2 linked regions of the Lonchura striata genome follow. The main gene of each other region encodes a partner of the protein of the gene in region 2 in a complex. Links are inferred from orthologs where the notes say so. Each region holds a gene or a part of one and is shown on either strand. Other genes may lie near its edges.

Region 1 (12,136 bases), on a different chromosome or scaffold from region 2:
AACTATTAGGCCAAAGAAGAATTAATCATATATGGACACATCAACTCAAACTTTCATGAAGAGCTTTGAGTTCTTATACTACTCCAACCTTGCCAGATAAGAGACAGACTCAATCCAAAGCTATCTCAACTCTTCGTATTAAATTCAGCTGTATTAACGTGACTAAAGAACTTGGAAGGAGAGGCAGCTCATGCTTAACCATCTGGAGTGTGAATATGTCAGCATTCAGCCACATCAGCATTTCCAATCCTATTCTTACAACAGTCCAAGAATCACTCATGGATTTGTTCAACAAACTAAGCTGACCACAGTCCTTCCCATTGCCAAAGCCAAGGGAAAACACCTGACCAGGAAAATACATTCATGTATTTTATGTTATAGAGAAACTTTATGTGGATGAGGAGGAGAGTTTTGCCATTGTTTTCAATGGGAGGTGGTTGGATATTTTTCTACCAGGATGCTGTTTCAAAGATGGATTATCTTACCCAAAACTGTAGGCTTCAGATCCCAGCCGATAGGCTGCAGCCAGCTTGTTGATGGATTCAGATGCGTGGCTGTAGGCAGCTGAGCTGGTGCTGAGGGACTCGGAGTCAAGGCTGTAGGCAGCAGATCTCTTGCTTTGCGCGGCAGAGTGGTCGTAGGCTGTGGATCCATAGCTGTAGGCTGCCGACTCCAGGTCGTGGGCTGAAGAGCCATGGCTGTAAGCTGCTGAGGATTCAAGGCTGAAGCCTGCTGCAGACGAGTGGCGGTAGGCAGCAGAGCCCCTGGCGTAAGCAGCAGATCCTTGAGCATAGAGGGCAGATTTGCTCTTTGTCTCCTTTTGGTACTGGCTCACAGTGGACGACAGCGCTTTGTGGCGGTACGCACGGTCATAGTGCTCGTGGTGTCTTTGGTAGAATGGTAAAGACATCATGGATGCCTTCGAATTTTGGGTTTTGCTGCACTTTTCTGAGTGCAAATAAAAACAGGATAATGTCTGAAAAAGAATAGGTCAAACATAAGGACTACTGTCAAGGAAACTCCTGAGTTAGCATACAAATAAACCCAACTTCACACAAACTAACACTGAACTTGAAAAATCAACTCCAATGAATTTAGAGTTATCTTTTTATGATGTGATTTAGACTTTCAGACAGGTTCATATTCAAGTTTCAAGATGCTCATGTCACCCATCATGACCAGAAACCTTTGCACTCTTGTGTCTGTTCATTTATAGTTGGTTCCCTGCTACTGCAAACTATTCACGTTTTATGTGCTCACTTATTACTGCAAACTAATGAAAGTCTGTGTGCCTCGCTTCTTCAGAGATAGTATAAAGAATTTTGTTCAATTACAATAGAGATAATAAAGTAATGAATTATTTTTAAAGGCAAGAGCAAATCCAATGAGCCTATAAAAGCTGAAACAAAAATATATGAACATTTCATTTATTTTTGTAATCCAATTTTCAGATTGAATTTAATCTTCCATTTATGATTACAACAGTGAATTGAAACACTAAGATTGAGAAGGAAGTCAGTTTTTCTTTAAATGTGCATTATAGTAATTGTTTTGTACATGATACCAGGGTTCAATTTAAAAGAGCTTATTATGCATTATTCTTTTACAGTTGAATCAGGGATCCAGCCTGTATGCAATGGTTAAAATATTATCATGTTCCTCAATGCAAATCCTTTTCTTTTAACCTAAAATATCATATTCAAGGTTTCCAAGACCCTTTGTCCAGATGATAGACCCATTTAATTCTAGTTTGCACATCATCAGTTGATTATCTTTAGTCACTTGTAGTGCAAATTCTGATCAGGTGAGAGGTAGTTCCCCTCTCAAAGTGGGATGAAAGTTGAGTGCAGAAAGAATTTCCCTTGTCTGTTTGTTTGTTTTAAAACCAGCAGTTCAGTCATTACTTTGCATTTTTATTTTGCTATTGTTATAACTGATTTTTCTACTTTGACATGGAAGCTTGCTTCAAGTAATCCATATGATAACCTTTCTTTCTCTTTCTCTTAGGCTCACATGGCTACTAGGATTGTCTCTGAAAAGGTCTCTCATTAGTAATAGAAATGACCTACAATAAGGAAGTGTTAACAAGGATTTAAAGAAGATCAAAAAACAAGAGTGAGAGGTGTTTGTTATTGCTTTGAGTATTTTTTTTTTTTTAATTGATCACAACAGTAGGAAATTTGTTCTGCTTCATGATTTCTTCATACTAATGAAAAACTATTTAATTTTTGGACTTAAAATACATTTACAGAACTGTAAGATAATCATGACTTCATGAAAGTATAGATATCCAATTTGGGTTGTCCTGCACAGGGACAGGAATTGGTCGCTGATGATTCTTGTGGGTCCCTTCCAGTTCAGAATAGTCTGCTATTCTGTGGGGTTTTTTTCCCCTGCTGGTCTTTATGCCCCCTAGATTTCAGTCCTTGGCTTTTCCTTTAGTATTTGGTTCTGAAAGCAAGTCAACAAATTTCAAACAATTCTCTTTGAAAGCTGCTGAGGTATTTGCCCTCACCAAGGCAAATTATGGATAAAAAAAAAAAAGAACAAAACACCAAAAACCCCAGAAACAAAACCCAAACCAAACGAAAACCAAAACCAAAATGTTCTTATATTTCAGGGATCTCACAAGGGAAATGCTCCTTGTAGGATAACTTTAGCTTCAGGAAGTCAACAAGGAAGAAATTTATTCAGAAACTTTTTATGTAAAAGAAATTGCTGATATCCTGACCAAACAGAAACTATGAGACTTCAAGGAGACCAAATTATACACTTACTTTATTTTTATCTGAGGAAGAAGGAGAAATGAGAAAGAGTGTTAGCCCATTGGTCTCTATGGCAAAAGCTGATGTTCTTTTTTAGCTCTCTTATTCCTAATGCTGGTTATTTTTTCATGTCAGTCTAAAAGAATGCAATTATGCTGTCTAGCATTCTTGTTTCTAGTACCTGTCAGTATTTTCTGTTGTTACTTATTTCACTTAGTAAGCTACTGGTAGTATGTAATTCCTCTTAATTTCCCTAGTTTCAGAAGATTTTTTCCTTAATTTTTCTGTGTTGTCTCCCTCTTCCACCTCTGCAGAGTTGGGTTTAGGGCTTGTAAGTCATTGTGATCACTGCCTAGGAAGGTTAAGGTGTACAGAAGAATATTGTCTTGCACACTGAAAGGAAAGGAACATGAGAACATCCTGTTTTCCTTCTGCAGAGTACTATGGTGCATCTTCACCAGCTTTATTTGAAGTGTTGGCTGGCTGCATCATTCATACAACAGCCACAATGCTAACAGACATTCAGCTCAGGCATGCCCAAAATCTTCCAGGCTTCAAAGCATGGAAGGTGATCCACAAGTATGAAGCACTGTGTGTGTTGCCCATTAAGAAGTTAAACAAGGCATTTAATTTACTTTTTATCAGACCAAAAGAACAAGTTAAAAGGAAACATTTTTCTTCCAAACATGAAAGATCTCACTGACTGTCTCACAGTCCTCAGGAGTAAAAGTCTGTGATAGAAGTAAGGATTATTATAGCAAGGCAGGCACTGAACACTAACTAAGTCAGCTCTAATGATCTAATCAAAGACCAGCATTGACTTACATCATGTAAAAGGAAACTCCTTTAACAGGCATTTTATCATAGTCTGTGTTATGTTTTATATTTCCTCTGAAACATCACGGATTGCTCACAGGCCAGGATAAGCTGGTTACATTAGTCTGATCAGATACAGCAGTGTGATGCTATCGGAGATGACAAGTAACTCAGAAAGTTCCAGGGACTTTTCTCCTCTCTGGAGCACTGCCTGATTGTCAGACTGACTCCCATCTCCTAAGTTTTATCTATGATACATGCACCCACATAGTCTGCATGCACCAACCAGCCCCTTCAGTGTGAGGGCAACTTCAGAGCTTAGCCCAAAAACATTAGTGGCCATAGTTAGATGAATTCACAGTTTTTGGAACTATATTTTATCAGCTATTGAACTGAATATTTAAAATTACTACTGAGCAGGCAGACAGTTCTCTACTTGTCCATAGTTCATAGCTACACATTAAAGGAAGCTGGCCTCACCTCTAGTGCTGTTTATCAGTCTGTGTAATTCTTTAAAGATCTACTCCATCAATCAATGAAAATAGTGAAATAGATTTAAAAAAAGAAACTCTTGTAAGCAAAGATAAGATCCTAAGCAACAAGAAAATATTTATGTTATTTAAACCTTCTCTAAGCCCTCAGGATGACATGACAAACTCCTCCTGTATCTCAGTAACCCATGCTTCATTTGAGAGTACTGTGACAATATGTAAAGATAGCTGAGTGAAAATAAAAGGGCCCCTGCACTACTTTCTTTCAGGTTCACAGCTGAACCTTCAGATGTCTTCAATTCACATCCACAAATCCCTCAACAGCTGAGCTAAGAAGAATAAAGGGAACTACTATCAACTTGGCATTACAGATTCAGATTAAAAATAATTGAACATGTAAAACCTTCTGGCATAAAAAAACCACTTACCAGGATCCAAATGAATGGCAGCAAATGGAAGAGCTCTGAAGCGGATGAATAGAACAAAAATACAGCAACAATGAAGCCAGCAAAGAAAGAGGTAGTTACGACGAGGGGTAAGGACTGGACTTCAAGGTCCAGAACAAAAATAATGCCTGCAGTCAGTGGAATGTCAGAGCCCCAGTCCAGACCTTTTATGGCCAGGGGGATGCTATAAATATAGCATGGAAGAGGGAGAGAGACAGAGACAGATACCGATACCCTGTACTATCTCTGTGCAAAGACATGGTGACAGCAGCTTCAAACTAAAGGAGATACAGAGTTCTCCCCTTAAAATATCCTCACTAAATTCTGAATAAAATCAGCATTCCACTTCAAAATTATTTCTAGGATTTTTTTTTTCCTTAGTTAAATCAGATTTAGTAGGAGAGAAAAAAAAAATTGTGTCATGAACCAGAAACTAGGAAAGACCAATGCCTGTGTTGACCTTTGCTCTGGTACAAGAATTTGAACATTTTATTGGTTCTTTTTTTTAATGCCAAACCACAGTACAGGTAGTATAAATATTTCAGCTTAATGACAGACAATCTATCAAGACTCTCTAAAGTCATATGAGTTACATTTGAACGGAAATGTATTTTCTTTGTTCTGTTGACAGTGTTACTTTTTTATCGTCTTCTTTAAGATAAAATGCTAAATTAAGAACATGACCACATGAGGCATTTAAGTAGATATAAACAATGCAGCTCTAAAATCTGACTTTTTGTTTCTAAATTAAGCAGTATTACCTCTAAGAATAATTAAATGGGCTTGTCTTCTTCCATTTTGGTCCCAGCATTCTGGCATGAAAATGAGTAATCTGTGTGGCTGAATATTACATCAGAATGAGTTCTGTCATCTGAGATCTAATAGTAGGAATGCAGTGTGACTTCATTGTAAATACAATTTATCTCTGCACTGTAAATTTAGCTTTAAATAAAAGTGATGAGTGCATTTTATTTTGTTCATTTGCATTAACCCTCTCAGTTCTGCTATAGCTTCTTTTCACACTTGCCATAGAACACAACCAAGAACTTTCCAGATCCTCCTGTTCTCCTAGCACTGTCCCCTTTATGGGTGTAACCACCAGAAGATGGTCTGGATAAGGCTAGAGGACCCCAGGCTTTTCTCTACAATAGTTCATCAGTACCTTCTTCTTCACCTCACTGTCTTGATTCTACATGCAATCCCTTCGTTGTCCCCACTAGCTACTTGTTCCCTGGGGAGCCACTGCCTCCTGCCTGATGCTCCACCATGCAGTAAGTTCAGAAGCCTCTTTACCTCCCACACCAGGAGCTGCTCAGGTGCACCAAACTTAGGGGCTTTTGGTTTTTGATCATGAGGACAGAAACCATGGCCAGCAAAAAGCTGTGCAGTCATAGAAACTGTATTGTGGGTCAGGAAACTGCCCAAATCTGCAACAGTCAGAGTGAAAAATGGGAACCTTAATGCAAGCTTTTCTTCCCCCAGAATACTGTGCCAGGAGCAGCGCCACTGAGCTATAGGTTCCAGGCTATAATGTATATTTTTAGTTAGAGTAGATGGAGCCTCAGGGGACATACTCCTGGATTGAAGTACAAACCCTGATCCATTCCTTCACCATGGGTCATTTGCACTGATATTGTAGAAGTCTTAATGACAGGCAAATTGCTTTTTAAGAATACAAGAAAATGGAGAGAAATGAAAGCAATTAAATATCACACTTCTCTGCTTTAATTGCAAGACAATCTGTACAGCTCACATGTGGGGGATAAAAATCTGAACAACATTTTCAGTATTTTTGTAAGGCACAATGGCACTATGAAGTCCAATACAGTTGTCAAATTCTGTGCTGCCTCCATTTATTCTGTAAATAAAATGGAGATATAGTGTAACAGCAAAATATTTAGTATTATTTTGCCCCTTAAATTTACACAATTTCAGATCTAGCTTTATTATGAGATAATATCCACAGCTAATTTCAAATCACTGAACTCCTATTTGAGTATCAAAGTACATATTTTAAATCACTTGGAGCTCTGCAAGCCTCAGAATCCCTGCAGCATTCTATATCCACATGTATTTAGTTACATTGGGCTTGGGAGAGACACCCTTAGGAAATACTAGTTCTGTCTTCTCCTAATTAGAACTACATAGTGCTAGAGACCAGTTTGTTTTTCTGTATGGTAAAGATATTCATTAATTTATATTATATTAATTTAGAGCCCAACATGACAAAACAAAAACCTTTCCAGACTGTCACCTGAAGTTTTGAGAGTTATAGCATCCTGTAGCTGTGGGCATAAGTCAAATTCCACATCATCCCAGTCCATCTCTTTCATTTGAGTTTAATCTTAAATAAATCTAGCAAAACAATTTTTGGAGAACAGAGGCTTTGAGCATGTGGGTTGTCTTCTGGAGTTTGCTTTCAAACTTGGGTCTAGTTTTCTGAATTGATTTTTATCAAGAAGAAAAATTGCTTTAGGAAGATCTGCTATTGTCCATTATACTCCAACTAGGCATATTCATAACCCACTGAAGGGAAGGGAGGTCTGTGTTCCCTACCTTCACCCATAAGAAGATATTAATATCCAGGCTTCTGTTGATTCTCTGCATCACTCTCAGCTCATATATTTAACAAGGAGTCAACCTTTTAACAGAAGGATCTGACTGCAGCCTACAACAGCTTGAGTGTCTGGGCTCACACCTGAAGAACGAAGTACAAGACCACTGTCTCCTTGATATGGGTAGAAATTTTTCCAAATCCTCTCAAACTATTGACTGCTGGTGCCTAGATCAATTTTTCATCATAGAGAAATATTTGCCTTACCATTATTAGCAACATTTATTCTGCAGCGTCTCTCTGGAACTGGAAATGTCACATAAAAATGTTCCTGCTAACAGCATTTCTTTTCCTTTGTAACATTAAAAAGGTTTCTGTCCATAATAAAACCTTACCTCAAGAGCATATAGCAGATTATTCCAAAAGAAAATTATTATAATTTCTTTAAGTAAGTGCTTTTGGCACTTAGATTTTTTTTTTAATCCCTAGTATCTCCTGTCATCTTAACTTTCATATCAAAACAGATGGTTGTCAAATGTCCTCCCACATTTTATCATTCTTTCCTAAACATCACAGATTTTTCAATACCTTTATTCCAATAATGATGGATAGTTGTTAATATCATTGTTGTATTTTGCTTTGTACCTTGGAAAGACTGGCCAAAACACCTTGACACATGATTGCTGAAGGACCAGAGCTGTACCTGGTAACTGTTATCTGCAACTGCAGATAACTCAAACCCAGAAAACTTGACTGAGGCACAATATCTGAGCTCCTGCCACTTAGGCATGCAGCTTTTAGAAGCAGGTAATATACTTCAAAATATGAGTTAAATAGTTTAGGCAGGATACTGACCAAACAGAGGTGCCCAGTGTCTGGGACTGGGGCAGTGGGATGGGCACTGACTGCCAGGTCCTGATAGAGCCTGTGGGGAGCTCCAGTGGCCCCTGGGGGAGCACTAAAACCAGTGACTTTATAGTGATTGTCAGCCCCATTTCTGTTATCCATAGCCCATGTAACTGAAGTATGTCATTATAAAGAAAACAATCTGTAGATATCATTTTACTGCAGTGTAAACTACTATTGCAATAATACAAAGCAATTGCTTCAGATATTACAATAATCATTTCCACAATCATTCAGGCACAGCCAACACAAATGTATCCACTACACAAGCACATTTTTCTTTCTTTTTTTTTTTTGTCCTCACATTAATTGATGAAATACTTTTGAATTAATCAAATGTTTATTTTAAAAGGATAGTGGCTATGTCTTAATAGAAGAAACAAATAGTTTTAGCTCTTTAGCCATCACCCTTGGAAATTATGTCTGATATAACAATTAGGCTCAAACAATTGAACAAAGTTTTGAGAAGTATTTGCATCAGAAATTCATACATTGCTTTATTCAACACTCCCCACAGGAAAGACCTTCAAATTTCAAACATCAATCATGAGTAAGAAAGTTTTCTAGAAATTGGTGGTGAATGCAAAACAACCTGATCAAGACAAAGAGGTGAACATTAGACTGTTTAGTATTTAAAGAAATTAAGGAGGTACACTGAAGAACAGAAGGAACTGAGATTAGGATCTGATGGGTGGACATGCAGGTCAAAGATAATTTTGGTGATTATTTCCCAGGTGTGATTTAACTTTAAATGAAGTCATTCAAACATAAACAGCATAGTCCAAACACCAATTGATTACGAGACAATTGCCAAACCCACCAGGACTTCACAAATATTCAGAGTTAATCAAATTATTTGAATAGTTTTTTTCAGTAACTTAAAAAATCTGCTATAGCTGGTGACTTCAGACTTCAGTGCAGTTATATTTCACAAAGGCAGCTGTATGTTTAACTCTGAAATGGATTAATCCTGATTTTTATGTAATGGGCCAATACTCTGGTTTCTCCATCCATGCTGTAGGACAAGGTCTTTTTTCCTTTCTGAACAACTTTAAGTTTGGAGACTCAACAAAAGGGACTGGCATGAACTAAAATAAGATGCTTCAAAGATTGGAGGGCAAGATTGGTTTTCTGTCTGATGATGGTTAGTATTGGATAGTCAGGAAAACAATCAAGAAATCAAAGTGGACAGGTTTTCAATATCCTTTCCAGGGGATGTTTCACCTTAACCTCTGTTGCTTAACTAGTTTATTATCTTATAGCTCAAGTGACTTATAGGAGAAGTTGTGGTGGCTTAACAAAGCCCTTTATTAAAAAAAAAAAAAAATTACATAGCTGTTTACAGTAAAATTCTAGAATTCAGTATAACACTATACCTACAGATGATAGTTCAGCCTTTACTGACTTCCTGAAAATCAACTGGGATTTGCTTATCAACTGTTGAATATTTCTAGTTCCTCATTTGTCTTTTTCTTGCTATAGCTTGTTCCTGGCTTGTCGCCCTGATTCTTAAGATTTTCTAAAGCCTTCTGAGTTTACATTCTGTTGGAGAACTTTCCCACACAATTTCTATAAACAACATATTGTTTTGCATTCTTTTATGGGGGTGGAGAAACTTGATGTACTAGTGGTTTGTACAATGTCTTTGGAGAGGTGGCCCATTCACTCTCCAATCTAATGTCACCTTTGGGAAAGCATAAAAGTTGGACTGAGAGAATAAACTTTCTTCTTTACCTTGCAAATAGCAGGTGGCTCGCATCGTGCTTTCACGTGTCCTATAGCGACACTGGCTTTCTAGCAGAAACTGTGAATGTCTTGTTAGCACATCCCTGCCCTTCCCACTGAACAACCCCTCAGCTGGACACACCAGCAAAGTGGCAGCAGCCTTCTCCCCTTAGTGACTGGAAGGAAGTAGAGGACCCCTGCCTCATTTCTCATGATTGCCATTGACAACCCAGCATCTTTATACCCAAAGAAACCCTCATAATTCAGTGTAAGGTTAAACAACAGCAGCAAAATATGAATCCTAAAGTAGCAAATCTATCTCCTCCAGATCATTTAGCTACAATAAATTTTAGAAGTGCTCCTCCAAAGTACTGTGCCTGTGTATTCCACCAGTGAAATGCAATGACATCTGGGTGAGTGATTTACACCTCTTTTCAGTACTAAGCAAACTGCAGGGATGTTGAGAGGAATACATGTACCAAATGGGCACCAGATGTGCCCAAAACCTCACTGGTTGCTGGGGCTGCCAAGGAAAAGCAGCTGTGGATTCACTGCCAGAGTGAGAAATCTCTGCAGGTAGTGGAACTAGAAAAAGGTACCAAGAGCAACTTACAGGCAGGGAAGGGCCAGGTGGGGGGTGAAAGTCAGCTATTAAAATATCCTTCTCTGCCTACTCAAGCAGCTGGCTCAGAAAGCAGAGCACCTTTTATCCCCCTGATAACAGGTCTAATAGGGAGATTTATCCATGAGACATTTAATTAACTAAATCCAACGTTAGTGATGGAGTAGCTTTGACAATTCAAAGCTCAGCACAGGACTCTTTCACCTCATATTTACTGAGCTAATGAGTTTGGGGTGAGTTTTTCAGCCAAACCTGATCTTAGCACTATATAGCTAGTCCAAATGAACTAGTTAATATAAATCTCCTCCATATATATCTCTAGACAATGTCTGTGTGGGCATTTCATTAATATTTTTTAGCACAAGAGCTTGAAGTCATCAAGGCTCTGTTAAAACCCAGATGATGCTTTAAAATGAGGCATAATGGGCATAGTAAGAAAGCCCAGCCTTCTAATGAAAACACTTAGCAGTGAACTATTAAGTCAATGTTGTGCTTATGCAGACTTATTTCTGTCCCTGTGTCTGATTATTTCTCTTATTTGTGTTTGTATTTCTACCACTTCTCACAGGAAAGAGCATGACCACATCAATTTAATGTGGAGGCACACTGATCACCTTCTCCCTCACTCATGCGCTATTTTTAAAAACTCTTGCTTACTTTTCATCTACAAATTTTCAATTCAAAACACCACACTGCATGCTGATGTTGCTCTCCAGCACTTGAGGAAAAAAAAAAAAACATGGAAAAAATAGCCATGATATTTGGCATGTTTTATGTGATCATATACATATAGAGTTAATATTCTCTGCTGTATGAGACTTGGAGTGCTGCATCCAGGTCTGAGGTCTCAAACATAAGAAGAACATGGACATGTGGTCCAGAGCAAGGACACAAAGATGACGAGAGAGGAGGAGCACCTCTCCTCTGAAGACAGGCTAAGAGAGCTGGAGAGATTCAGCCTGGAGAAGAGAAAGCTCTCGGGAGACCTTAGAGCAGCCTTCCAGTACCTAAAGGGGGTCTACAGCTCAGCTGGAGAGGAACTTTTTACCAGGGTTTGTACTGGCAGGACAAGGGGGAATGGTTTTAAAGTGAAGGAAGGCAAGTTTAAATTGGGAATTAGAAAGAAATTCTTCACTGTGAGGATGGTGATGCACCAGAACAGGTTGCCCAGGGAAATTGTGGCCGCCCCATTCCTTGGAGTGCTCATGGCCAGGTTGGATGGCACTTTGAGTGACCTGGTCTAGTGGAAAGTTGTCCCTGCCCATGGCAGGGGTGCTGGAATGAGATTATCTGTAAGGTCCCTTCCAGCCCAAGCCATTCTATGATTCTGTCCCAGGAGCTCAGTTTCTGAGACCTTTCATAAGAACCTAAAAGGCAGAGAAATGACATAATATGGCAGAAACAAGTGATATAGGGGCCATTTTGGTGTGCAAAGCAGAGGCTCTAGCACTGCTGAATGTACAGCCTAGCCTATTCTGCAAACTCAGTTTTTCATCCACAGTATTTTTCATTTGGCACTTGACTGAGTCATTTGAAATGGATGTTTAAAACAAAGCATTGCCCATTTGACCTAAAAATCCTTCTATTAAAAATCCTTGTACTGTTTCACAGCAGCTACTTTGAATCTCTTCCACACTTTGTCACTACTCGATCTCTGTTTAAACTGCACAAAGATTTTATATGTGCTTTTGACAGGCATATGCAGAATTTTTTCAGAATATGTAAATCAAGAGGGGAAAACATTCTCTTGCTCTCTTTTTTCCCCCTGACTCTGGTGATGATTGCTGTTGCTTTGCATAAATCATAGTAGA
Region 2 (12,637 bases):
ACCAAGATAGCCTCCCTAAGACCCTTCTGTCAAAGTGATGCAAAGCTGCTCAGCCAAAAGTCTGAGCCTCAGCAGATGGTGTTCCCTCTCCCCGTCTAGGGAAGCAGAGCTCTCCATGCCCCTCACTCCCACATAGCACACGACCTCCTGCCTCTTCCCAAAACCCATGCTGCCTGTCCTTCCCACTGACAATTTTGCCTTTATCTCACTAAACCCCCCTCCCTTCCTCACCCTTCCAGCAGCCACCACTCCACTGACTCTTCAGCATCTCTTATCACTCATCCTACCTTCACTCCTACATCCTTGGCCATCAACTTTGGCCCTTTGCCATGTGTTAACATCACAGTGAGGCTTTACCATTGTGGTCACATCAACTTTCAACTGGGTTTTAGCTCTGCCCCTGGTTGCCTTCCCGTGGTTGTGGGATGTGGATTCTGGGGCCAGCAAGGGGAAGCCTTTCACTTGCTTTCAGCTTTCATTATCCTCTGCCAGCCAGTGATGCCAGCAACCGCTTCACAGCTGGGGCAGCCGCCACAGGATGCTGAGCCCTGCTCCCATCCAGCAAACACCACCCAGCCATCGGTCTCCAGGCAACTGTTAATTTTCAGGTCAGCAATTAACACTGTCCATCAGAGCAATGACCAACCATGAGTCATCCTATGCCAGGTGCTGGGCCCACTATTTTTAGGACCTTGGAGGAGGGCTTGGTTACTAGCCATGGCAGAAGTCTGGCAAACACCCTGGTGTGCAGGTGCTGGGTGCTCTTGTGTGCTCTAGTGTTTCAAACAGGCTGAGTGAGCTGCTCCCTCTGGCAGTTGGTCTGAGTCCCACAAGGACCCCAACTGAGCAGCCTACCAAACTGCTGGTGAGCACCGAGCAAAAGCATGTCTGACAAATATCCCATCACAGCAAGTGACAGCAATACTGACACCAGCACATGCATTGTGGCATCCTGCACTGGCAAAGAAAGCCCCCTGAGACCCTACCAGCCCTCCTGCATCACACGCACCTGCCACAGTGATGGTGTAGAAGGCAGAGTCCCCACCAGCATCGCAGACGAACTCTCCTGTGTCCTGTGTCTGAGCGCAGGGCAGCACCAGCTTGCACTGTGGCCCCTCCTGCTCCAGCAGCAGGCTCTCACCCACCTCCACCTCCTCTCCATCCTTGTACCAGTGCACTGGGACTGCTGGGCGGGACAGCTGGCACCACAGCTCCACACGCTGTCCGACCACGTAGGCGTGGGGGGCTTCCTCATTGGAGCTGATGATCCTCACCGGCACCTCTGCCAGGGAGAATGTGGGCCTCAACATGACTAGCTGCAGCTTTCAGCTGCATGATGGGGGTAAGAAGCAGGGCAGGAGCACTGTCAGGAGGTAGGGGCCAGGCTGCCACACACATTCCCCAGCTCACCGGTCACGGTCACCACAAAGCTCACGGCATCATCCCCAGCGTCACAGGTGTACACAGCAGAGTCTGAGGGACACGCTGAGCGGAGCAGCAGCCTCCGCACGCAGCCTTCTGCCTGCACCGCGATAACGTCATCCAGGGGCACGGCCTTGCCGTCCTTCAGCCAGCAGACAGGGGCATCCGGGGTGGACACCTGGCACTCTAGCAGCACAGGCATCCCTGCTGGCACGTTTCGGAGCCGTTCAGCCTCAGACACTGGGGCAATGCGGACCTGTGGGGCTGAGAGACATTTAGGAGCGGTGAGAAGCATCCTTCAGCATGACAGCCCCTGCTGCTGGGGTCCTGGTAGGATCCCAGGGTGAGTGCCCTGATCACCTTGCACATGCAGGATAGCTGAGTCCCGCACACCACCGGACACAAAGGTGACCTGGGCCCCACTGTCAACCAGTCGTGCTCCTCGGATCAGCAGCGAGTGCTCCATCCCATGGCGCTGTACACTGCACCGGCCGCCTGCATCCTCCTCCTCACGCAGCCTGGCACCGTTGAGGAACCAGGATCCATGCACTGCAGCTGACAGCTCCAGGGAGAACTGTGCATCCTCACCATCCCTCACCCACGTGTCCTGCAGACCCCTCTCCAGACGAGCTGCTGGGGCTGGAGCACAGTCGGACTGAGCCCCAGTGGCACTGACTACCAGCACACTGCAGCACGACATCCCAGCTTTTGCCTGTCTCCTCACCGAGATGCACAGATCCAGGGAACTCCACAGGTCTGCTCCTGCCGTGCTTGTTGGCGGCAGAGATGCGGAAACAGTAGTCGGCCTCGCGAGGCACGCTGTCACCCAGCACCCGCACGCAGCTGGGCAGGTCGGTGGCAAGGCACTGCACCCACTCCCCTCCCGCTGCCTCCCGACGCTCCAGCAGGTAGTGGCTGGCGGGGCGGAGGTGGGAGTCAGGTGCAGGACACCAAGTCAGCAGAGCTGTGTTAGTCTCCACCACGCTCATCTCAGCTGCTACTGGTGCACTCGGAGGGTCGTGCTTCACACCTGCAAGTTACAGCCCACGCTGACTGCTTGGGGATGGCAGTGAGGTTCTAGGTGGGGTGGTAGAAGTGATAAGTGGGGGTAACAGCCTGTTTCTTTGGGGATTCTCTCTCTGATGGAGAGGATGGTCTTGCTCCCGTGTAGCATGCTGCTGGCTGCAGGGGTTTGTGAATGCCTGTGAGGCTAGGATCCTGGAGTTCTGCTCAAAGCCCCCTTCCCATAAAACACATTGCTGCATCACACCCCCAGCATATTGGCTGCCTATGCCATCCCCTCTTCTGTATCACCCCCCATGAACAGGCAGGAGAGAGGACACAGGACCCCTTCAGGAGCTTACACTTGACTCGGAGCTGGGAGGATGTCTGTGACTCCCCGACAGTGAAGGAGATGATGCCCGCGTCCTGGCGGGTGACGTGCACCAGCACCAGGAGGTGTGTCCTGCTGAAGCTCTTAAGCACGGTGCGGGGTGACTCCCGCAGCTGTAGCCCATCCCGGCTCCAGCAGCTGCCCTCTACCACATCCCGTGTCTCCACACAGAAAACTGCATTCTCCCCCTCCATCACATCCAGCTTCCGTGGCAGTCGCTTCACAATCACCCCTATGGGAAGAGATATATGAGGGCCAGGGAGGAATTCTGGGGACCGGGATGGGGCTCTTTGAGGTGGGAGAGGAGGAGGAGGAGGTTGAGGAGGGGCAGCAGCAGGCACCAGCCAAGTGGAGGGAAGGCAAATGCACGGAGCAGTGAGGACCCTGGCAAGGAGGGGAATAGGAAGGCAAAGCTGTGCCGCTGGAGACATGACGCACCTCGGACAGAGACCTCGGCAATGCTGCGTCCTTTGTCCTTCATCTGGCAGAGGTAGATGCCATCGTCATCGATGCGGGCATCGCGGATGGTCAGGCGCCGCACCACCCCTTGCTCCTCCATCACGTACTTGTGGCTGGGCTGCAGCTCTCTGTCCTCCAGGTACCAGGAGGTGGGGATCGTCTCCAGTGGCACCTGGCACTCCAACACTGCATCCTCCCGCTCTGCTACCTCCACGTCTGCCAGCTGCACCTGGAACCGCAGCCGGTGCTCTGCCACAGGAAGAGACAGGAGCTTAGGGCACGTGGGGTACAGCATCCACTGTCAGCCCTTTGCTCAAGGTGATCCCAGCTCACAAAGAGCAGCAAACTCTTGTCCCTCCTTTGCCCTCTCCTTTGGCTTCCATGAGACAGACACTGCCTTGACAAGCACATATCCCAGAGCAGGGAGGACCAGGGCACAGCCTGGGGAGACACAGGGATGCCTCCAGTATCTCAGCAGGAGTTTTGGGGGATGCAGGGGCATGGAAGCCAGCATACTGCAGCAGGCATCTCAGTGGAGGGGAGCAGTGGGGTGTAGGCAGGGGCTGCACCAGTTCCTGGGTAACCCCAGCCATGGGCTGTCCCCAGCTGGCTGGATGGCTCGGGGGGGAATTGGGCAGCTGCCAGTGCAGACTGTTGGAGCCGTGCCCTGCAGGGCTGGCTGCCAGAATCACTCAGCACTTCCAGGGAAATTTGTCACCAAGGCACTGTCCCTCTTCCCTGTTTGTGGCTGGACACCTGCAGTCATCCGAGAAGCCACACCTCTGTTTGCAAGGAAAGCGAGACACGGAGCAGGACACAGCTCCTGAAGAAGCCCAGCATCCCCTGTTTCCAGCTCACAGCTCTGTCCTGAGGAGCCTGGGGTGACCCTGGCTGCACAGGGCAGGAAGGAGCCCCATGATGCTGGGCTCTCACACAGACACACCCCTGCCAGACAAACTTCCCTGAGCCCCCCAGAGCCTGGCCACCTCTGACACTTCTTGGACGTGTTCCTACCTTTCACCTGCAGCTGCACTGCACTGAGAGTCTGGCCAGCAGTGTTGGAAGCAGTGCACATGTATAGCCCCTGGTCCTGAGGTTTGCAGTACAGCACCTTGAGGATGAAGTAGCCCTCCCGGTCCTCGTAGATGAGATGCCTGCGGCCAGGGGCGAGAGGTTCACCATCTTTCTGCCAGATAATCTCTGGCTTGGGCTTGCCAGTAACATAACAGCGAAACTTGGCATGCTTCCCTGCGCTCACAGCAAATGCCTTGGCCCCTGGCACCCTGGCCGGCACGACGCCATTGGGCACCCAGGTCTCCGGTGCCATGCGCCGTCCCGCTGCGTGCCGCCGCCACCGCTGCCGCTCCGCCAGTACCTCGGGGCCGTGGGCAGGGGAGCCATTGGGGAGCCCATCCAACAGTGCCTGGGGTTCAACCAGGAGCACGGCGGCAGCCAGGGCCTCCTGGGAGCCGCTGCGTGCCCGGCAGACATACACACCCCCATCCTGGGGCCGGGCACCGAACAGCTTCAGGAAGTGCCAGTCCTCTGGTTTCTGCCCCACTGCAAAGTGGCTGCTCTCAAAGAGTTCGGAGAGCTTGTGCCCATCCTTCTCCCACTCCAGCACAGGGCAGGGCTGCCCAGACACCCTGCAGGTGAACATCACATCCTCCCCCCGGCACACCCGCATGGACGAGGGGGCAATGAGGAAGGCAGGTGCGACACTGCCTGAGCATCCCTCCCCCTCTCGCGGCTCTGCTGGCTCTACCCTGAGCACGGTGGCAGCGTAAGTCTCGCCAACACTATTCTTGGCCCTACAGACGTAGAGTCCGCTGTCCTCGGGGGTGGCACAGGACACCAGCAGGCTGTACAGGTCCCCTTTGGACTCCATATGGAAACGGCCCGAGGGCTCGATGGTATTCTTGTCCTTTTCCCAGAGGATGCTTGGCTGGGGATCACCCATGATCTGGCAGCTCAGGACTGCATTGGTGCCACTTTGGACCGTGAAGGCACGTGGATAGGCCAGGAACCTGGGGGCTCCCCCGAACCCCTCCATCACCAACTCCCCAGGCTCACGGCAGACAGCTGGCTGGAGCAGCAGCAGGGATCATCAGCCTGGGGGGATGTACAGACAGACTACAGTGGAGGCTCAGGCTCCATCGAAGAGATGGACCAGTGTGGAGCCCCCAGCTAGGAGGGACCCACAAAATCCCCATCATGGACCTCCTGAGCATCATTGTCATCCAGAGCAGCGCAGTCCCACTGGATTTGTCCCAGTGTCACCCAAACCATCCATTTCCCAGCCCAAGGCAATAGGAGACGTGACAAATTGTGGCTCTTTGCACCCCGGGGGCCTGAGACACTTGCACCCTTTCCCAGGGTTGCAGAGGGGACTCCAGTTCCAGCGGTGGGGGACCCCGGCCTAGACAGGGAGCATAGGCAGCTGCTTGCTGGGTGCTGGGGCTGGGGGACAGCGAAGGCAAAAGGGCCCCCGCCCGCCCCTTCCCCACCCGCCGGGCATTCACATTCCTGCAGTATCGGGTGGTGGCAGAGCCGCATTCCTGCAGCATCTGGGCCGGCTCAGCGGGCAGGTGCTGACACGGGGCTGTCACGGGCGCGAGGCCCCGGCTGGACCCGGGCTGGGACTTCCTCCCGGACTTGGGTGGGCAGGGGACCCCCTGTGCCGGGCGGCCACCCCACAGGGCAAAGTGCCCTGGGGCGAAGTGGGGCTCTGGGGAAGGGGTCCCCGTTCTAGAGAGTAGTCCCACAGGCGGGATCCAGCCCTTGTGCACTCAAAACCATAGCTGGAAATCATCAACCCCAGGGGAAAGCTGAAAGCCAGGGAGGTGGGTCCTGCTATGGAAGGGCACTGTCTCCATCCCCAGCTTTGTGGGTAACCGTGCCCACCACCAGGGCAGGAGCAGGGCAGGGTGCTGTGTGCCTCTCCCCGCTGAGTGCACCCACCCTCTGCCCACACCATGGCTGGGACTGGGGCAGGGTCGTCTCTGACTTGCTCAGGCAGGGGGAGGGGAAACAAAAATACTTCTTGAATGAGCCAGAGGGTAGGAGAGAGCTGGTCCCCAAGGAGCGACAGGGATTGTGGCCAGTTTCTCCTCCCACAGCCCTACCCCTGGGACAGTGAATCTATTCAGATTCATCTCTCCATCCACACGCCCCTGACCCCTGGGCCACCCCACAGCAGCTCCTTTGGACACAAACGGACAGCTCTGATGGCTCGGCTGCACCATTGCACCCTTCAACCACTCCCTTCCCCAACCACCCTCCCTGCCCCAGGCAGTCCCCCAGCCCAGACCCCTGCCCCACACATGTACCTCGTTCTGCCACCTCTCCCCTGTGTCTCTCAGTGTCGGCACCCAGCTCCTGCTTCTTCCCCCAGCTCCCCTTCTGGGTGTCAGTGCGCAGGGACCAAATGTTACAAATGCCTGCAGCTGCTGTCCCCAAAAATACCCTCTGATGACACGCGGGGTTGATAAGAGTGAGCCTGCTCCGTTCAGCGCCTCACCGAGGCTGGGCTGGCCTACCTATGTATAGCAGCCCAGCAGGAGCCACCCCAGAGAGCTGCAGGGGTGCTGCAGGCCCGGCTGTGCCTCTGCGCCGGCTCAGCCAGCAGCGAGAGACAACGTGCCCTGTGGAGAGCGTGGCATGGGGTGCAGGGTGCATGGTGTGCTGTACACTGAGCTGGACACCAGACTGCAGTGAGATAGGACGTGTCACACGGGACATGCTGCATGGGGGGATGTGTTGCATTGGATGCTGCATGAAATGCCAGGCTATATTGGATGGGATGGGCAGGACACTGAGCTGCCAGAGGCACAGAGGGGATGCACAGGCTGCCCACCATCCACAGCACATGCAGCGTTAGTGGATAGGCACTGTCCCCTCAGGCAGTGGTGAGAGGAAGGGGACTGGGTCTCCTTACAGCCAATGTCTCTCCTGCAACTCCCACCCTGTGAGCCAAGCCATGGCTAGACAGCCCAAACAGCACCCTAGGATCCTTCTCCTGGACCTGCTGCAGGGTCTCCAGCTGGCCCACCCCTCTCATTTGTTCTTCTCCCCTTGAAGGTCTCATCTGTTTTTCTCCCCTCTCCAGCCTTCTGCAGCCTCAGGTAGAGCAAGGACCTTTTGCCGTCCCTCTTGCTTCATGTCCCCAGGATCTTGCTAATCATGTCATGGAGATGTCATGGACTGTCATGGAGATGCCACAACCACCCTGTCCCTCAGCTTGCCCTTTCCAAGGCCCCATCCTCACATTTTTGGCTGCCCTGGCGACTGCCACCTGCAAAGCGCCTCCCCCATGCCAGAGCCTCACAGGCCTCTGATCCCCACCAGGTCCTTGCCCAGATTTCCCTGCCGTGCACAACTGCTGTCACTTCCCACTAGCTCCCCAGAAGCCCTAGACCTTCCACTCCTCCGCCATGGGAGGCACCTCGCATCAGCAGCTGCAAAGCTCACCCAGCACCCCCTCCATCCCTGCCAGCTTCGGCTGCCGGCACCACCCTGCCCGCAGCCCGGCCTCCCCAGCCCCACGCACGCACCGCTCCCGGCAGCAGCCCCCACACACACCCCCTGGCCGGGGGCCGGCCCCCCAGACCACACTGTCCTTGCAGTCCTTGCATTCCAGACGTCTCAGCGCTTTCACAGCTCAGAGATAATATTCACGGCGAGCAGACGTTTGCGTCAGTGTCAGCTAGATCTCAATGCCACCCTGTCCCGGGGGGAGCGCTGCGGGCAGACGGGCTGGGCAGGCAGGCAGAAGCCCGCGGCAGAGCCCCCCAGGCCAGCACCCCACCGTGTGCCCCACGGCCATGCTGCTGCTGCTGCACCTGCTGCCTGCCATGCTGCCCACCGCCGCCCTGGCCAGCTGCACCGGGACGGGTGCCGACCGGCAGCTCATCCTGGCCAAGGTGCGGGCTCGGGTGCTGGAACATCTGAGTCCCCCCCTTCTCCAGGAGGAGCCACAGATGGAAGCAAGGAGGGTACACCGGAGAGACGTTCTTGAAAACACTGAAGTGGAGCCGGAGGAGCTGGAGGACACCTCCCAGGTGATCTTATTCCCTGCCACAGGTGAGAACATCCTGATGAAAGGGTGAAGCAGGGTGGGGGTTGGAGTAATGCAGACGCTGAAGGATGGCGAGGCTGATGTGGTGGGAGAAGGGGAAGAAGGTATGCCAGGCTGGGACATGGGCATGAGTGAGATTTGGTGGAGAGCCAGATGGAAAGGTATGGCAGGCATGGACAAGCAGAACAGTTCAGGACAGACAGCAGAGGGACAGGCAGCACAAGAGGGTGCTGAGAGGCTAGGAAACAGCTGGCCAGGCAGGATGTGGAGACATGGAGAGGGATGAGGAGCAGGGTGGAATAGGGTGGGATGCTAGGGAATGGGGCAGGATACTGGAAGGTGGGTTGGGATGCTAAGGGACAGGGCAGGATGCTGAAGCATGCGGCAGGATGACCAGCAATAACAGCAGGAGATGGGGCAGAATGCTGGGGGATGGGATAGGATGCACATGCTGGGGAAAAGGGGGCAGGATGACCAACTATGGGACAGGACTGGGAGATGGGCCAGGATGCAGGGAGATGGTCAGGGTGCAGAGGTGGGGGAAAAGGACAGGATTACCAGCTATGAGGTGAATGCTGGGGGACAGGGCATGATGTGGTCTCTGGGGGAAAGGGGCAAGACAACCAGCTATGGGGGAGGATACTGGGGGACAGGGGTGACAGTAATGGACCAGCCTAGAGCATAGCAGAGATCAGTTGTGGGGCACAGCACAGAAGCTGCTGCACAGCACCGGCTCCTCTGCACCCAGCCACAGCCTATGCCAGCAGCCAGGAGCCCTGCCAGCATTCCAGGGACCTCTGCAACATCCCACTTGTGATTTGGCATTGGGGATTCTCCCCAGGTCTGGGTGCAGACCCTGATCATCTTTTCCCCCCCACAGACGTTCCCTGTGAGCCCACACAGCCAGACAAGCTGCTGGAGGAAGAAGGGATTTTCACCTACCTCTTCCAGCCCTCGGCACACACCCTGAGCCGTGTGGTGACTTCTGCCCAGCTCTGGTTTTACACGGGCCCCTCGGCTGCCCCCAACCACTCCTTCCCTGAGGTGCTGACCCTGTCCCCTCAGGGCCGGGTGCCGGTGACAGCCATGGCGGAGCGGACACCCGAGCACTGGACAGTGTTTCACTTGGCCCCAGTGCTGCTGCCCCAGCTCTGGCAGCCGCTCTTTGTGCTCCTGGTGCGCTGCCCTGGCTGCCCCTGCCTGCCTGAGGGGGACAAGATGCCCTTCCTGGTGGCCACCACCCGGGCCAAGGGCAGCGAGAGGGCTCGTCGCTCTGCCATGCCCTGGTCCCCGGCCGCCCTGAGCCTGCTGCAGCGTCCATCTGAGGAGCTGGCTGCCCACACCAACTGTCGCCGGGCTTCCCTCAACATCTCCTTCGAGGAGCTGGGCTGGGACAAGTGGATCGTGCATCCCAGCAGCTTTGTTTTCCACTACTGCCACGGGAGCTGCGCTGCAGGCCACGGGCTGAGCCACCGGCTGGGCGTGCAGCTCTGCTGCGCTGCCCTGCCCGGCACCATGCGCTCCCTGCGCGTCCGCACCACCTCCGACGGCGGGTACTCCTTCAAGTATGAGACGGTGCCCAACATCCTGGCCCAGGACTGCACCTGTGTCTAGGGCGTCCTGCAGCCCAGCCCGGACCATGATCCCACGCAGGAGGAGTTGCTTTCCCAGTGGAACCCTGGCCGCTGGGATGGGGGAGTTTGGCTGTACCACCCTCCCTCGCACAAGCCAGACTTTTGGGCTGGCCCTGGTACCATCACAGAGCAAATCAGGGCATGGCGGGGCATGGATAGGCACAACCTACGGCAAAGGCATCACTGTCCTGTCAAAGCCAGGCTGCTGCCTGCAACCAGATTAGCCCTCATCTCTCTTCACCTGCTTCCCTGCTGCAGTTCTGCACCCCCACAAAGATTGGTGTCTTCCTCCTGCTGCAGAGTTCAACAGCTTCCCCTGTGCTCCAGGCAGGGCCAGGCTGTTGCAGCAGGATCAGGATGTGCCTGGGTGAGCCCATGCCAGGACCTCACACTGGTGGCAGGGCTGGCAGCACACGTGGCACCACAAGTGAGCCCTCTCCCAGCAGCATGGCTTGTTGGAAAGCTAAATGGGATGAGTGAAATAAACTTGTTCCCTTTTCTAAAGCAGCCTGGAAATGTCTGCTTCTATCTAGATGGAGAAATGAGGGGATGGGCAAATACTGTTAGAGGCATCCAGCTCCGATTTGGGGTACCAGAGAAGGGACTGGAGTATGCTGGCCAAAATGGGCAGGGTGTGGCTGGGTTTGATCCTGCCCCAGGCAGGGGTGTGCAGAGCAGAGCAACATCCCTTCTGCTCTGGGCAACAGTTGTACAGTAACGGGGACAGCAGGGGGCTGGAGAGACATGGGGATGGTGGGAGGATGGGGAGGCAGAGGGAAGCCCCTCACCTGGCCCCTTGACAGTGACAGGGCCAAAAAGGAATGTGGCCAGTGCAATCCCTCTCCGGCAGGATGATGACGATGACGGCAGGATGATGACGATGACGGCTGCCCCGACCACAGCCGCCTCCTCATGGCAGGAACAACTGAGTCACCCCGGGCAGCAGGGAGGTCCCAAGGCACCCACGGCAGCACACACAGGATTCCCTTCCCACCCCTTCCTCCCGAATGAGCGGATGCAACGGTTCAGTACAAAACGTCTTCAGCCTTTACTAATATAGATATTAAAAAAAAAAGAAAAACAGAGTGACAATCATTTCCGAGTAAAAAACAACGCTACAAAAGTCCCCATGTGACCCAGGCTGAGATGATGAGGAATGCTCCACTGGCTCCTGGCCGAGCCCAGCTCGGGGCACCACGTCCCCACACTGTGAGGCCAGGGTCTGGCTCTGTGCAGGGGGGTCCCAGCCCTGCAGCCAGAGTGGGAGGAGACAAGTTTTGGTCCAAGGGCAGCCTGCCAGGACAGGGCGGAGGCAGTGGGAACGACAGCCCCTGACCTCTGCACAGACATTTCCAAGCAGGCCAGCCACGCAACTCATAGCCCCATGCCAGGATGCTGTGCAGCACAGCCCCTTAGGCCACAAAGTCATTTTGTGGCAGCGCAGTGCCACCAGGACCCCTCCCACCCCCTCCAAGAGTAATGCCAGCCCAGGACTCTGTCCCACAGCTTGGCCTGGCCAGCCAGACCCCCAGCCTGCTCCCCTAAGTCACCCACACCTCAGGGGGCAGTACCAAAATCACCAGCACATGCAGAGCACCAGCTGGTGCTGCCATGGGTAGTAGAGGGCATGGGGGGCACAGGGAGGTGCAAGGACAACATGCTGGGGAAAATGGGTGTGGGAGGAAAAAAAGTGGGTGAAACAGGAGATGGGGGGCACAGGCCCAGAGTGGAGATTGGGATGGAGTATAAAAATGCCAGGGTGCACATGTTGATGAGTTTATAAAAACGTACAAAAATAAGATATTCCCTTTCTGAAAATTAAGTAGGAATGAACCCCATGGCCCCTGAACCCTCTGCTGCCCACTAGGACAGAGCTGCCCAGACTGCCCCGCTGGGCAGGCGTGTGGCATTCCTTGCCCTGTGCTCCTGGCAGGACGCCTATCCCACGGTGGCAGTGGCAGCCACTCCGGCAGACACCGCTGTTATTCCTGGCGACACTCACAGCCCTGTGGGGAGCAAAAAAGCAGGTCAGCACCCACCTCAGGGGGAATGGCATCCTCTCTCCAGGGGAGCCTCGGGGCAGCCCCCATGCCTCCACCCCGGTGGGCAGGATCCATCCCCCCCTCCCAGCTCACCCGTGGTCCTGTCGCAGGCGGCGGTCCCCTTCTCATGGGCGAGGTTGAGGCGGTTCTGCTCGGCGGCGATGCCGTTGGCCTCGGGGCTGCTGCTGCGGGCAGGACTGGGGGGCCGTGGCGGGGGCTGGAGGTGGAAGGCCACCTCCAGGTGCTCCTGGGCCAGACGCAGGTGCTCACGCAGCCGGTCCAGCTCGTGCACCGGGGGAGCTCCAGCCAGGGCGAAGCGCCCCTGGGCCAGGCTCTCTCGGTAGTCCAGCTTGCTGTTGGGCAGTGGGGCTTGCGGCAGCTCCTTCTTCAGGGAGTGGTAGGTGGGCGGGGCGCTGGGGGCTTTCTTGGGGTATTGTGGTGCAGGACTGTCGCCAGCTGGGAGTGGGGGGCCATCAGCCTGGCTCAGGGCATCACGGATGCGCCCCACACCAAGATGCAAGAGCTCGCAGAGGTTGAGGAAGAGGCAGAGCCCGCTGACGGCGTACATGATGAGGAGGAAGATGGTCTTCTCGGTGGGGCGGGAGACAAA

What was found.
Region 1: the proteins of OBSL1 (region 2) and MYOM1 are in contact, whole or in part, in a crystal structure (PDB 5FM5), measured with the Homo sapiens proteins. The link is inferred for Lonchura striata from reciprocal best matches to the Homo sapiens genes OBSL1 and MYOM1. Residues at the interface, in NP_056126.1 of Homo sapiens: Pro243, Lys253, Phe255, Val257, Asn258, Gly260, Lys261, His262, Ala263, Lys264, Phe265, Arg266, Cys267, Tyr268, Val269, Met270, Gly271, Lys272, Pro273, Pro275, Trp279, Lys305, Tyr308, Tyr317, Cys319, Ala321, Arg322, Asn323, Ser324, Ala325; in NP_003794.3 of Homo sapiens: Arg616, Pro617, Ser618, Ala619, Pro620, Trp621, Thr622, Gly623, Gln624, Ile625, Ile626, Val627, Thr628, Glu629, Glu630, Glu631, Pro632.

The regions. Positions count from the first base shown.
Region 1 is NC_134603.1:49,285,441-49,297,576, forward strand, and holds the start of MYOM1 (myomesin-1), read right to left. Parts: upstream 4,640-12,136; 5' UTR 4,501-4,639; intron 977-4,500; 5' UTR 914-976; coding exon 486-913; intron 1-485. UniProt on the Homo sapiens protein: Major component of the vertebrate myofibrillar M band. Binds myosin, titin, and light meromyosin. This binding is dose dependent.
Region 2 is NC_134610.1:16,232,452-16,245,088, forward strand, and holds the start of OBSL1 (obscurin-like protein 1), read right to left. Parts: upstream 5,328-12,637; coding exon 4,289-5,327; intron 3,524-4,288; coding exon 3,254-3,523; intron 3,048-3,253; coding exon 2,787-3,047; intron 2,453-2,786; coding exon 2,147-2,452; intron 2,062-2,146; coding exon 1,783-2,061; intron 1,687-1,782; coding exon 1,411-1,686; intron 1,283-1,410; coding exon 1,010-1,282; intron 1-1,009. Other genes in the region: INHA (inhibin alpha chain), read left to right, coding at 7,990-8,356, 9,232-9,965; gap junction gamma-1 protein, read right to left, coding at 11,984-11,991, 12,121-12,637. UniProt on the Homo sapiens protein: Core component of the 3M complex, a complex required to regulate microtubule dynamics and genome integrity. It is unclear how the 3M complex regulates microtubules, it could act by controlling the level of a microtubule stabilizer.